Xenopus tropicalis: one gene and its partner. The protein of the gene in region 2 purifies or fractionates together with the protein of the main gene of each other region. This does not show direct contact. Links are inferred from orthologs where the notes say so. Each region holds a gene or a part of one and is shown on either strand. Other genes may lie near its edges.

Region 1 (6,080 bases), on a different chromosome or scaffold from region 2:
AGTTTATTTTAAACATTATTGCACACACCCAACCCATGTATATGGTTACACTAAAACTGGAAACTCAAAATAACTTATGATATAAAGAGCAAAAAGTCGCAATATTCACTAAGGACAAAATAAGCAATCACACCCACTTATTTACTAAAATATCAAACGAATACCTCTTGAGAAGGCATTACAATGTTTTCTCCATGTATGTACTGCTTCACACTGTAGTGAAGAAAACTGGCATACAACTTTGGTCCTGTCCATTTCTAGGCCAATGACAAAAACATTCTGCACTGGAGAATGCATGACTCTTAGAAATCCTTGATCCACTGCAAAATTTAAGTACTATGGATGGTTCCTCAAATGAGAAGCGTTTTTATATGTTTGGGCACTGCACAGAAAATGAAAATATACCGGTTAGTTTAATTAATGGATTATCACAGGATTAATGCAGGCAGCTAGAGAGAGGAGAATAACAATTAAACAGTATTGATGACAGTCACATTTTTTTTAATTTGGGCAACTGTTTATATACGGATTCACTGGGAACATACCTACGAACAGTTTTTGCAAATATGGGTGGTGCAAGCTTGAGTTGCAGAAGAATAGAGTATAAGCAAACAAAAATAAAATTCAAGCTGGTGAATGCTGTCATACACACAAACAGCCACATATGCACTTGTACTGGAATTCATTGTTTACTAATGTTTTTGTACCTTGGACATGGAGATGCAGGTCACACTTTTAATAAATGTTTATTATTTCTCTTCAAATGCTGTTACAGAACCTAATAACAAAATGCACATATAAGCTGTATAAAGTGCATACAGACTATAGCATGCTAATTGACACATCTAATGTGTGTGTTACAGGTTTCATTTAGTGAGGCACATCAACGCATTCAAATATCGGTCAGTATACAGTTTTTATATGTTACATTTGGACACTATTGTGGCCATTAATTCCCAGCATACTTCAGCCATAGATTATAATTTTAAGGATGCACAAAGTTGTAGTCCAACAATATCTGAGGGCCTTAAATTCAAAAGCCAAGAATATACAGCTGGACTTTTAATTTAATGTTTTCTTGCACTTCATTCAGAGAGTAAATGAAATGTAATTGGATGCCATTTGGCATATGCATCATTATCCTTGCATGCCCGTTTTTACAATTTAATAAGATAGATACAGGTATGTTGGGGAGATTGGTTGAGATTTACCCACAGCTCATAAGCTGCCTTTTGCCAGAGGTATAGAAGATACAAGACCAACCAGTCCATTTCGGAGCTTGCTATTTTTATGCCAGCCGAGGTGGGTAGGAAAGACTATGGCTCACACAACTAGCTAGACCAAGTGTGCAGTCAAATGTTTACATCAGGGGTTCTCAAACTACAGCCCACGGACCGGATCTGCCCCCCGCTGCGTCCTCACCCCTGGCAGGGAGAGAGAGGACTCAGCGGGAAGCTGCAGGTTTGCTCATCACTATACAGTACAGAAGGTTATCCTTGAATGCAAGAAACAGATACCAGTGCAGATGCAAAGGAAACATAGATGCTTTAATACCAGAGCAGAAAAATTTAATATTGAGACAAAAAAATACAGGCCAAGAGGACAGCAGGGCAAGGTGCCACAAATGCATTCCATGAAAAAGGGTCCAACATGGAACACTGAAAAAAAAAAAGCAAATTACAGTGTGACAATGACAAGTATAGAGTTCTTTAAATGCAAATATATAGAAAATGGTTCATTCTGATCCTTCACAGAAACTAAATAAAACTATGCATAAAAAAGGCACCTGGAGGTCAATAATTTTTAGCTATCCCTTTAATTAAAAAAATAAACCAACCCAAATAATAGTGATACAGTCTGCTTAACAGCAAATGAATGTAACCCAAGGCTAATGGCACACTGGGTACATTACCTGCCAGAGTATTTTCACAGAAGCATTAAAACTACTCCTGTTGCTTCTTGCTACACTAGTACTGGTGCTTTTCAGCCCATGGATGTGCTATAAGTGTTTTCTTAAATGGGCCAATACCTCTACCTTAAAGGAATTTAGCATTCTAATAAACTGGAGCCGATAAATAGTTTTGTTTGCTTCTCAGCCAGCTAAATACCCATCAACGAAAAATACCTTGTACGCTGTTACCTAATTAAGATAAAGTTCTATGTTATAACAGCAATGTGTAACTACACTTACAAAAACCTACCCAACCCTAACTGCCTACTGCAAATGTGCCCCCAGTCACTAAAACTGGCCATACACTGCCAGAACCGCTTGTTTGGCAAGGTTGCCAGTGAGCAGAACTGGATCAAATTTGGCCACCTACAAGCCTAATAGCCTAAGCTGATCCGATTGTTGTACCAAGAAGCCAACAACTGAATGATACAAAGTGGCTCTACAGGCCCAATAGATGAGGACCACATTAAAGGACAAGTCAACCCAAAATATATATTTTTTTACTTCTATCAACTTACAATATACATTCATTACAAATCTGCAATGGGTTTTGACTTTGAGTAGTGTTTGCCAGTCCTTTTCTATTCTCTACCCTGGGGGCCCTAGCATTTGAAACAATGTAACACAAGGCAGCAGATTTTACAGACCTGTCTTACTAGAGGAGACTGATCTTTGCAACATTGTATAAAAAGTAGCATCCAGAAAATGCTGCTTTCAATAGAAAATACATTTACAAATAACTTTTAAAGCACTAAAAATGTTAAATAAATTCACACCTGAAAGTTGCTTGGAATTACGTTTTCTTTTATTAGGCAAAAATGTATTTTTGGGCTTGACATGTCCTTTAACATGACAGAATGAAAAATAAAACATTGGTGGATTTTGGCCAGATGTCAGACAGGACATCAGTGGGCCCCTTACATAGGCCAATAAGCACCAACTCAGTCTGCAAGGACTGAATTGTCAACTTCAGCCCATACATGCCCAGTTGGCTTTATTAACACAGTGGTTTTGTTTATTAGTCTGAGGTTTGGGGGACAAGGCAAATTCCTCATAGGCTGGGGATCTGTTCAAGGAAATAGCTTAAAGAGCATGAGATTATTCTTACTGCCATTTTTTTTACATGTATCTATAAAGTGCCAACATATTCCACAGCAATGTACAACAGAAGGGTGTATGTGGCAAACATGCACATATGATGAAGGGGGTAAATACAATTCAGTTTCACTGTTGTAATACTAAAGTGACTTCAGAGTTCAAGCCCCATGACAGAAATTTGATTCATACTAAAATAATAAGTGTTTAATTGCTCCACTTTATGGAATATACCACCAAACAAATGCACAAACTGACACAATTTAACATGAATGTACACAAGCCCCCATATGAAATATATATATATTATTCACTCATAAAATCGTTTAAGTAGGCACGCGTCAACCACACGAATATTAATCTTAAAGTGAGACTTTTTTCCCTCCATAATGTTGGGGGAAATTGTAGTTCGGCCTCTGGAGCCTTAGCGGAGCTCGGAACTACAGTTCCCAGGCAGGGGGCCCCTGGCACTGACGTCACTGCATTGCTTCCAGATGACGAGTGGGGGAAGGGAGCCGCCATTTTAGCTGCTCATTGTTTCCTGGTGCTTTAGCTCCGTCGCTATTCTATGTGGTTAACAACAACTATTAATAACTCTGCGTATATAAGATAGGTTTTTATAATACAAGCAGCCCTATAAAGGCCGGGAATTCCACAAAGCAGTTTCCAATGCAGCCCCAACTTCTGTCTCCCCTTTGAATTACTCACTGGTAATAAAGACGCTGCTCGCAGGCCAGCGGCATATAATCGGACGTAGAGGCGGCGGTGTCGATAAGCTGTCAAGTCGGTGTAAACAATGTTTTGTACGGAGCGTTCGTTTGAGCTGACTGAAGCCAGGACCCGGCGGCACCTCACCTCCCGCGCTCTAACCACCGAAAGAGGAAGGAGTGCGCAGAGCGGTACCGCCCCTGATTGGCCGTGACCGACAAAAGATTGCCATAGAGATCGTAAACCCGCCCCACTTCCTGTCTCATGATTGGTGGAAAAAAGAGCCGCTTTTTGAATCCCAGCAGGGAAGAAAAATCTTTTTTGTTTTCAGCGGAGCTGATGTGAATGGCTTTGCAACGCATTGTTACCGTACCGCTTGCTACTCCGTGCACACGTAATTATTACAAAGTTGAAACCGAAAAATAATCATTTTGCACACTGAGGTTTTATAGAAAGAGTTACTTTTTGCAAATGTTTATTTCTGAAAGGGTTACTGTCAATGTCTTCACGTAATTGCTCCTTTTTAACACCAAATTAAAGTTTTGTATGCATTTAAATATAATGTAGCTAGCCTGCGCTGGTAACTTGGGCTCAAAACCATGGGGGAAGCCGTTCTCTTAAACTTGGCCTGTATGACATGTATTAAATACTCCCCCACCCATTTTATGCGGGTACATGATTAGTCCAGTTGTAAATTAATGTTGTTAACATGGAGCAAGAGGGTTGTCTAATTTGTCCATTATTACTGTATATACTCGAGTATAAGCCTAGTTTTTTAGCACCCAAAATGTGCTGAGAAAGTCACCCTCGGCTTATACTCGAGTTGGCTGCCATCGGTCCCTCCAGACTAGCACCCTCTGTCCTTTGTGTGCAAATTAGGCCACCTGCAACCAGACCCTCCAGTGCCCTGTCCTGCTCCCAAATTCATCTTCATCTACCATCCTCACCTGTCCCATTCTGCACTAGGCATTGCACTTTATATTCTATATAAACTATATATAGTTTTGAAGGATTTTAACTCTTTGTGTTTTAGCTTGGTTGCTGATTGAGCTAAGGGGGTAGTACTCTTAAGGTATCATTGTTGATACAATATTGTTTTTGTTGATCCTCTTCTTCACTTACAGAGCTAGTTTATGGTTTTTCTTTGAAATAAATATTTAAAAACCTATACCCCACTGATGCCTCATTTTATGTAATTGTATTGGTATTTATTTTGATTATTGAAACTTGATACTCAAGTCAATACGTTTTTCCAGTTTTCTTAGGTAAAATTCGGTACCTCGGCTTATATTCGGATCGGCTTATACTTGAGTATATAAGGTATATTAAAGGGGAACTATCATAAATGGGGATCTGCTTAAAGGAACAGTAACACCAAAATATGAAAGTGTTTTAAAGTAATTAAAATGTAATGTAATCTTGCCCTGCACTGGTAAAACTGGTGTATTTGCTACAGAACGCTCCTATAGTCTATATAAATAAGCTGGAAAAAAGGAGAAAAGGCACAGGTTACATAGCAGATAGCAGATAAGCTCTGTAGAATACAATAACATTTTATCTGTTATCTGCTAAGTAACCTGTGCCTTTTTTTTATTCGAATGGCTGCCCCCATGGCTACACAGAAGCTTTGCTTATATAAACTATAATAGTCTTTCTGAGGCAAACACACTAGTTATACCAGTGCAGGGTAACAGTGCATCATATTGTAATTACTTTAATACACTTTCATATTTTGATGTTACTGTTCCTTTAACTTGGTCCAGTTCTGACAGGCAGAGCAGAGAGGAGTGGGAGAGTCCAATCATTTTTGACTGACATCTAAAGTTCAACCCCCACCTGCCCAACTTACTATCTGATAGAAAACCTGGAAAAGTTTTTAAAGAAGATGTGAAAATTCAGCCTAATTCAACGTTACATTGTCTGACACCTGTCTCACTCACCTGAGTCACTAACAACCACCTATAATATATGTCTCGGTTATTTGTGAGAAAAACATGAAAGAAACAACATATCACTTGCTTTTTTGAGCAGCAAGGTATTTACATGGGCTCAGCAATTTGAAACATACATGTCAAGTGAGCTGGCAGGTGATGATGGGAGTGTTACTTAAACAATAAATTTAGGGCAGGGGGCTCAAACTCAATTTACCTGGGGGCCGCAGGACGCAAAGTCAGGATGAGGCTGGGCTGCATAAGAGATTTCACAAAAAATTGGCTTTCAAGGGATAATGCAAGGCACGGCGGGCGGGAGCTGCTGATTGCGGAAATTACGTTATGCCATCATAACAGTTATTATGGGAAGACGTTCTGTGTGCACAATTAGCTCC
Region 2 (5,300 bases):
AGAATTACGGGAAGGCCATCTCCCATAGACTCCATTATAAGCAAATAATTCTAATTTTTAAAATTGATGATAAAACAGTACCTTATACTGGATCCCAACTAAGATATAATGAATCCTTATTGAAGGCATAACAATCCTATTGGGTTTTTTCATGTTTCAATGATTTTTAGCACACTTAAGTTATGGAGATCCAAATTACGGAAAACATATCTGGAAAACTCCAGGTCCTGAGCATTCTGGATAACAGGTCCTATACCTGTAACTTAGACACTGGCACAACAGGGCAATCGTGAGTGGGATAAACCCTGCGTGTTTATTTAGTGCAAACCATGTAATGTTTAGGGGGAAGCCCCTTCGTCAGACATGTGACCTGGTGAATTCTGGAACTTACATTTTGAATGTCTATCACAGAGCGCGGAGTCTCGCATGTCACAAAGTCTAATTGTTCCTTTGCTACTGCTGTAGACAAACACGTTACAATGATGGGGATGGAATTCTGCAGCCGTTATGACTTCTGTCAGCTCCTCCATGTTAGCAGGCTTAATATCTACAATGTCTGGAAAGGCAGTTAAGGTTTTTCTAACAATCGAATAGAATTATGGGGGCTATGTAAGGATAGGCACTAAGTTGCCCAGGAGCAGTAGCCCATAGCAACCAATCAGCAGGAAGAATTTTCTGGTCACCTATTTAAAAGCAAACATCTTATTGGCTGCCATGGGTTACTGCTCCTGGGCAAACTTAGTGCCGTTTATTACACATGGGGGTAGAAAACAAAAAGACCAAAAGATGGGAGCAGAAAGCTCAGTTACACAATATAGTTCATGCTTAACTAGAACCATTTTGTGTCTAGGCTTGTATCCCATAGGATGAAAACTAGCAGGTACCTCTATAGCTGGCTATGAACATATAGTAGGCTCCATGCCCCGACATACAGTAGACTGCACTCCCCATAAAAATTAATTTCCCAATATGAAAATCCTTATATAAATTCACTGATAGTATGAGACAGTAATAATATAAAACATAACATATATTTAGCCCAACATCTAGGAAAAATAAACAGTAAGGAGAATCTCCAGGAATATATTTCTATTTGCCAGTGCCATACTGACGTAAATTTTTCAACGCTGATGGTAAGCAAAGGATACTAAAACTTCTATCTGTAATTTCTAAATGCCATAAATTAATTCTCAGGTCATCTGCTGAAAGGTAAGTTTCATGATCGCTATTTACGGAAATTGAGTTTATATGATATGTGTGCGCATTTGCAAATATCCGTCGTGGACTTGCTTCCACCATTAGGTCCATGGGTTTTAGGATTGGCACCTGAAATGAGAATACATGCAAAGTGGTTAAAGGGAACCTTGGCAAGAAATGAAGAAATAACAGCAAGAATAAAATGGGCACAATTGCTACAGCACATCTTGTAGCTGTAAACAAGGCTTGGTAAAGGCTCTACTACTATGGTCACTACACATCATAGGGCTCTACTACCAGTTCTCACAGTCAACTCCCTTCCACTTCAGCTTGTGTGCAGGCCTGTATTTGTATATAGGCACCCAAGGGCCTGTGCCTAGGGTGGCAGCCTTAGGGGAAAGGTCCTTGGTGCCTATATAATCAATTAAGTTAAAAGAATGAAAAAATAAAAACCCTCGCCAGTAGCCACCAGGGGAAATCTGTTGGGAGCTATGGGGGGGGGGGGGGGGAATTGCGCTGTCTGGGGGTGTAGTTATCTCCAGTACCTACAGGGGCACCAGAACTAAATACTTCCCTGCTCGCCCAGAATAGCCTATGCCCATAGATAATGTAGTGGCTGTACCCTTCTAATTATCTTTCTTCATAACTCTGTTTCCCCCAAAACTTACCCGTAAAGATGTAATTCTAAATGGATCCCGCAGCCTGCCGTCATCGTCCTTTAAGTTGTAGCCTTCAACTCGTTTGTCTCGCTCACTTATTTTCCACAATTTTATAGTTTTGTCTGCAGGGAAGATAAATTCCTTTCAGTGCATGAAAACAACCTTTGTACATGACTGCTTTCAGTAAGGTAACAGCGCACTCTTTCCAAACAATACTGTATCTATCAGGGCCATCACAATGTCACCTTGCAGGGAATTTCTATGGCTCTTGCCTCCTGCCCAAGGACAATATCTATATATCTGGGGTGAACAAAAATGCAATTGAGGACTTTCAGTTCTATCAGTTGCCGACGCTATAATATAAGGGGAAAATGATTTCTACTTTCTCAAGAAGCACCTTATTGTGGCTTCTCACAGGTTTCTACCCAAACATATAATATGATCAACCAATGCACGTCACCAAAATGGTTGGTTTGGCAGAGAAGCCAAAGGTGTATGGGTACTTATGGCAATAAGCTAAAATGAGAAGAGGAGAGCTAAGCACCAGCACTGTGTCAATTTAAATATAAAACCTTTATTTTCTCTCATTAAAAACATGAGGCTCCTGTTAGCGTCACAATGGGCCAACATATTTTGGGCAATCCCACCTGTAATCATAGGCTATTAGTCAAAACTGTATGTGACACTGCCGCAGGAGTCTGGAGCGGTGTTTTACTTATACAGACATGGGATGTTGTCTGGAAACCCATTATCCAGAAAGCTCCGAATTACAAGAAGGCCATCTCCTGTACACTCAATTTTAATCAAATAATTCTTATTTTTAAAACCGATATACTTTTTCTCTGTAATAATAAAACAGTACCTTGTACATGATTCCAACTAAAATATCATTATTCCTTACTGGAGGCAAAACAGTCCTACTGAGTTTTTTTCATGTTTAAATTATTTTAGTCTACCTAAAGAAGACACATAGGATAAAAAAAACCTGAAGTCTTGTGCAGTCACACAAGCAAAGGCAGGATTCAGTTTCCTATCAGGTCAGCCTAGCAGCTAATTGGTTCCTATCCTACAGTGCAGTGTACTGCCGCCCCCCCGGCACAGCCTGGGAAAGGATGCAGCAGGAAGCGAACAGATGGTGGGACTAGTGGAGTTTTTGGAGAAATTTTTAATAAATCAGCCAAAAACACTACTTTTTAAACAAATTCCTTCAATATTCATATGAGTACAATTTATTGGCACAATATTAATTGTCACATAATATGTCCCCTTTAAGATATGGAGATCCAAATTAAGGAAAGATTCCTTATCTGAATGAAAAGTTGATCCCCACCTGACCTTAACCCACCCACACCTGAACTGGTGAGCTACTGGTATTCATAGACTCACACTCGACCCATCCATCTCTGTGTGGGTGGGGAGAGGGCGCGAGACTATTAATACAGGCTGACTGAAGCAGAACTGGGGCATGGTAAGGTCACAGATCGGGGCTCTGGCCCCACAAAGAATGTGTGGATGTCAGCAGGAACCCTCTGGCCCACAGGTAAACCTACAGACTGTTCTGCCAGGTTTCAGGCCGGCCTGCACATCACTAGTCACCATGTAGTCAAACTGGACTATTTTCTGTCACCTAAGTTGACTAGTCAGATATCCTCTACATAGGTGTGGCTCATGTTAGAAGAATTGCTATAAATCAGTGTGCAAATTGCTGTTAGCAGGAAAAGCAGTTCACACCTAAACAAATTAAACATCAGAATTCACACACAATGTCCTATTTATAGAGAGCCATACAAACTATATTATGGCAGTATACAACTGCATGCCCAAACCCTATATTCTCCAGCTGCATAGGCTATAAAACTAATGTGGCCCTATCCACTAACAGCATCCAGGCATTTCATTTCTTCATTTTGACTACACCAGTGAAAACCAACTGCTTATTTTGAGCCACAAAATAAAAGCCACTGGGAGGGGGACCATGTATTGATCAAACCCATTTACTTACCATTGGTAGACAGTAGAAAGTGAGCAGCGTTCTGCTGGGGCAACCACCTAATTTTGTTAATTTTTTCTTCGATTTCTAGACTTTTTAAATAGTCAAATTCAGGTTCATGGCTTTGAAAAGTGCTGTAAACGTTATATTCACCCCTCGAATGAGGACGACTTTTATTCTAGAAAATAAAAGTGAAAACATTGAATACTCAAGTGCAATCTTAGGAGCCGTGCCTTGGGGAAGCAGAAGTGGGTGAGATTTGAGATTGATTTGAGATGAAAACATTTTCTACACCAGATATTCTTGGACCTTTGGCTAAATGACTGCAATATTTACATATAAAAGGGGTGTAAAAGGTATGGGGCAGCCCAGACCAAACGTCGGACGTCAAGGTGGGCTCGAAACAAAAGTCAGAAAAAATTCAAGTCATGGATTCCAGGAACTGCACACACTATATGGGGCCATACCAGTTCTTTGTAAAGGTGAAGAATTACCCTCTCACTGAATGAATCAATATATCTTAGAATAGAATACAATATATTTCTGGCCATTACTGCTGTACTTGCTACTTGTAGACTGCCAGAATAGCAGTAAATAATGCATATAGATAATTATATTATAAATAATGCTTATACATTTGGAAACAATGTACCTGATTAGTAGCCAACTACATGGAGCAGCTACAGCCATTCAAACAGGACAGATACAAGAGAAGCACTCAGGCTCCAGTAATCCAGATCAATAATAATATTTTCCCGAAATCCAATACTGACCTCTTGTTCCCTTTGGAATATAACAACTCTCCCGCCTTTGTCGCCTGTAGCTAGCAAATCTCCAGAACAATTGAACTCGACAGTTGAAATAATATCAGCTGTAAGAAAAAAAAAAATCACTTGATATTATATTCACATGTATGAAAGATCTGATACCTAAAAGGTAACATAGAAAATAGCACATACAGAATAAGTTACCTGGCAGGGCTGTTATGGGATTTTGCTGCATATGGAAATAGTTGTTACGGTGTCTCTTAGGTGTGTAATTATATGCTGGGGGTTGCTGTGCTACCCACAGGGAGGCATTTGGATTTAAGGGTATGTCTTAATAAAAAAACCCTTTTTTACATATGAGTGATGGGTGATATCCGTGCAGTGAGCACTATTTTTTTCTTTGGTGTGCGACACCATTAATGTGGGTATGGTCTTAAAAGTTCTTCTGATAATATGGGTGTGGCCTTAAAAAGGGAGTGGTCAAAACTGGCTTCCATTATCAGCCCTAGACCACATAGGCCAGAGAAATTCCAGCCCTCGGTACCTCAGAAGGTGGGCAGCACTGGCCTTAAGGTTAAAACAAACACTGGGGAAACCCCTTTCCACATATTAAGTACAAACCTCGTTTATTCTATGGCTCCTTTATATTTTTAAAAGACATCAACTTTTTATACATTGGGACCATCC

Evidence for each region. Proteins that work in one complex are often made in the same cells at the same time.
Region 1: the proteins of ppp2r2d (region 2) and cdca4 purify together in Homo sapiens (affinity purification with mass spectrometry; 3 studies listed by BioGRID and IntAct, counting the BioPlex papers as one, with this or other methods). This does not show direct contact. The link is inferred for Xenopus tropicalis from reciprocal best matches to the Homo sapiens genes PPP2R2D and CDCA4.

The regions. Positions count from the first base shown.
Region 1 is NC_030684.2:100,009,226-100,015,305, forward strand, and holds the start of cdca4 (cell division cycle-associated protein 4), read right to left. Parts: upstream 3,912-6,080; 5' UTR 3,755-3,911; intron 383-3,754; exon of another isoform or gene 180-382; coding exon of another isoform or gene 165-179; intron 1-164. UniProt on the Homo sapiens protein: May participate in the regulation of cell proliferation through the E2F/RB pathway. May be involved in molecular regulation of hematopoietic stem cells and progenitor cell lineage commitment and differentiation.
Region 2 is NC_030683.2:21,323,734-21,329,033, forward strand, and holds part of ppp2r2d (serine/threonine-protein phosphatase 2A 55 kDa regulatory subunit B delta isoform), read right to left. Parts: intron 4,718-5,300; coding exon 4,620-4,717; intron 4,025-4,619; coding exon 3,859-4,024; intron 1,979-3,858; coding exon 1,866-1,978; intron 1,327-1,865; coding exon 1,149-1,326; intron 557-1,148; coding exon 392-556; intron 1-391. UniProt on the Homo sapiens protein: Substrate-recognition subunit of protein phosphatase 2A (PP2A) that plays a key role in cell cycle by controlling mitosis entry and exit. Involved in chromosome clustering during late mitosis by mediating dephosphorylation of MKI67.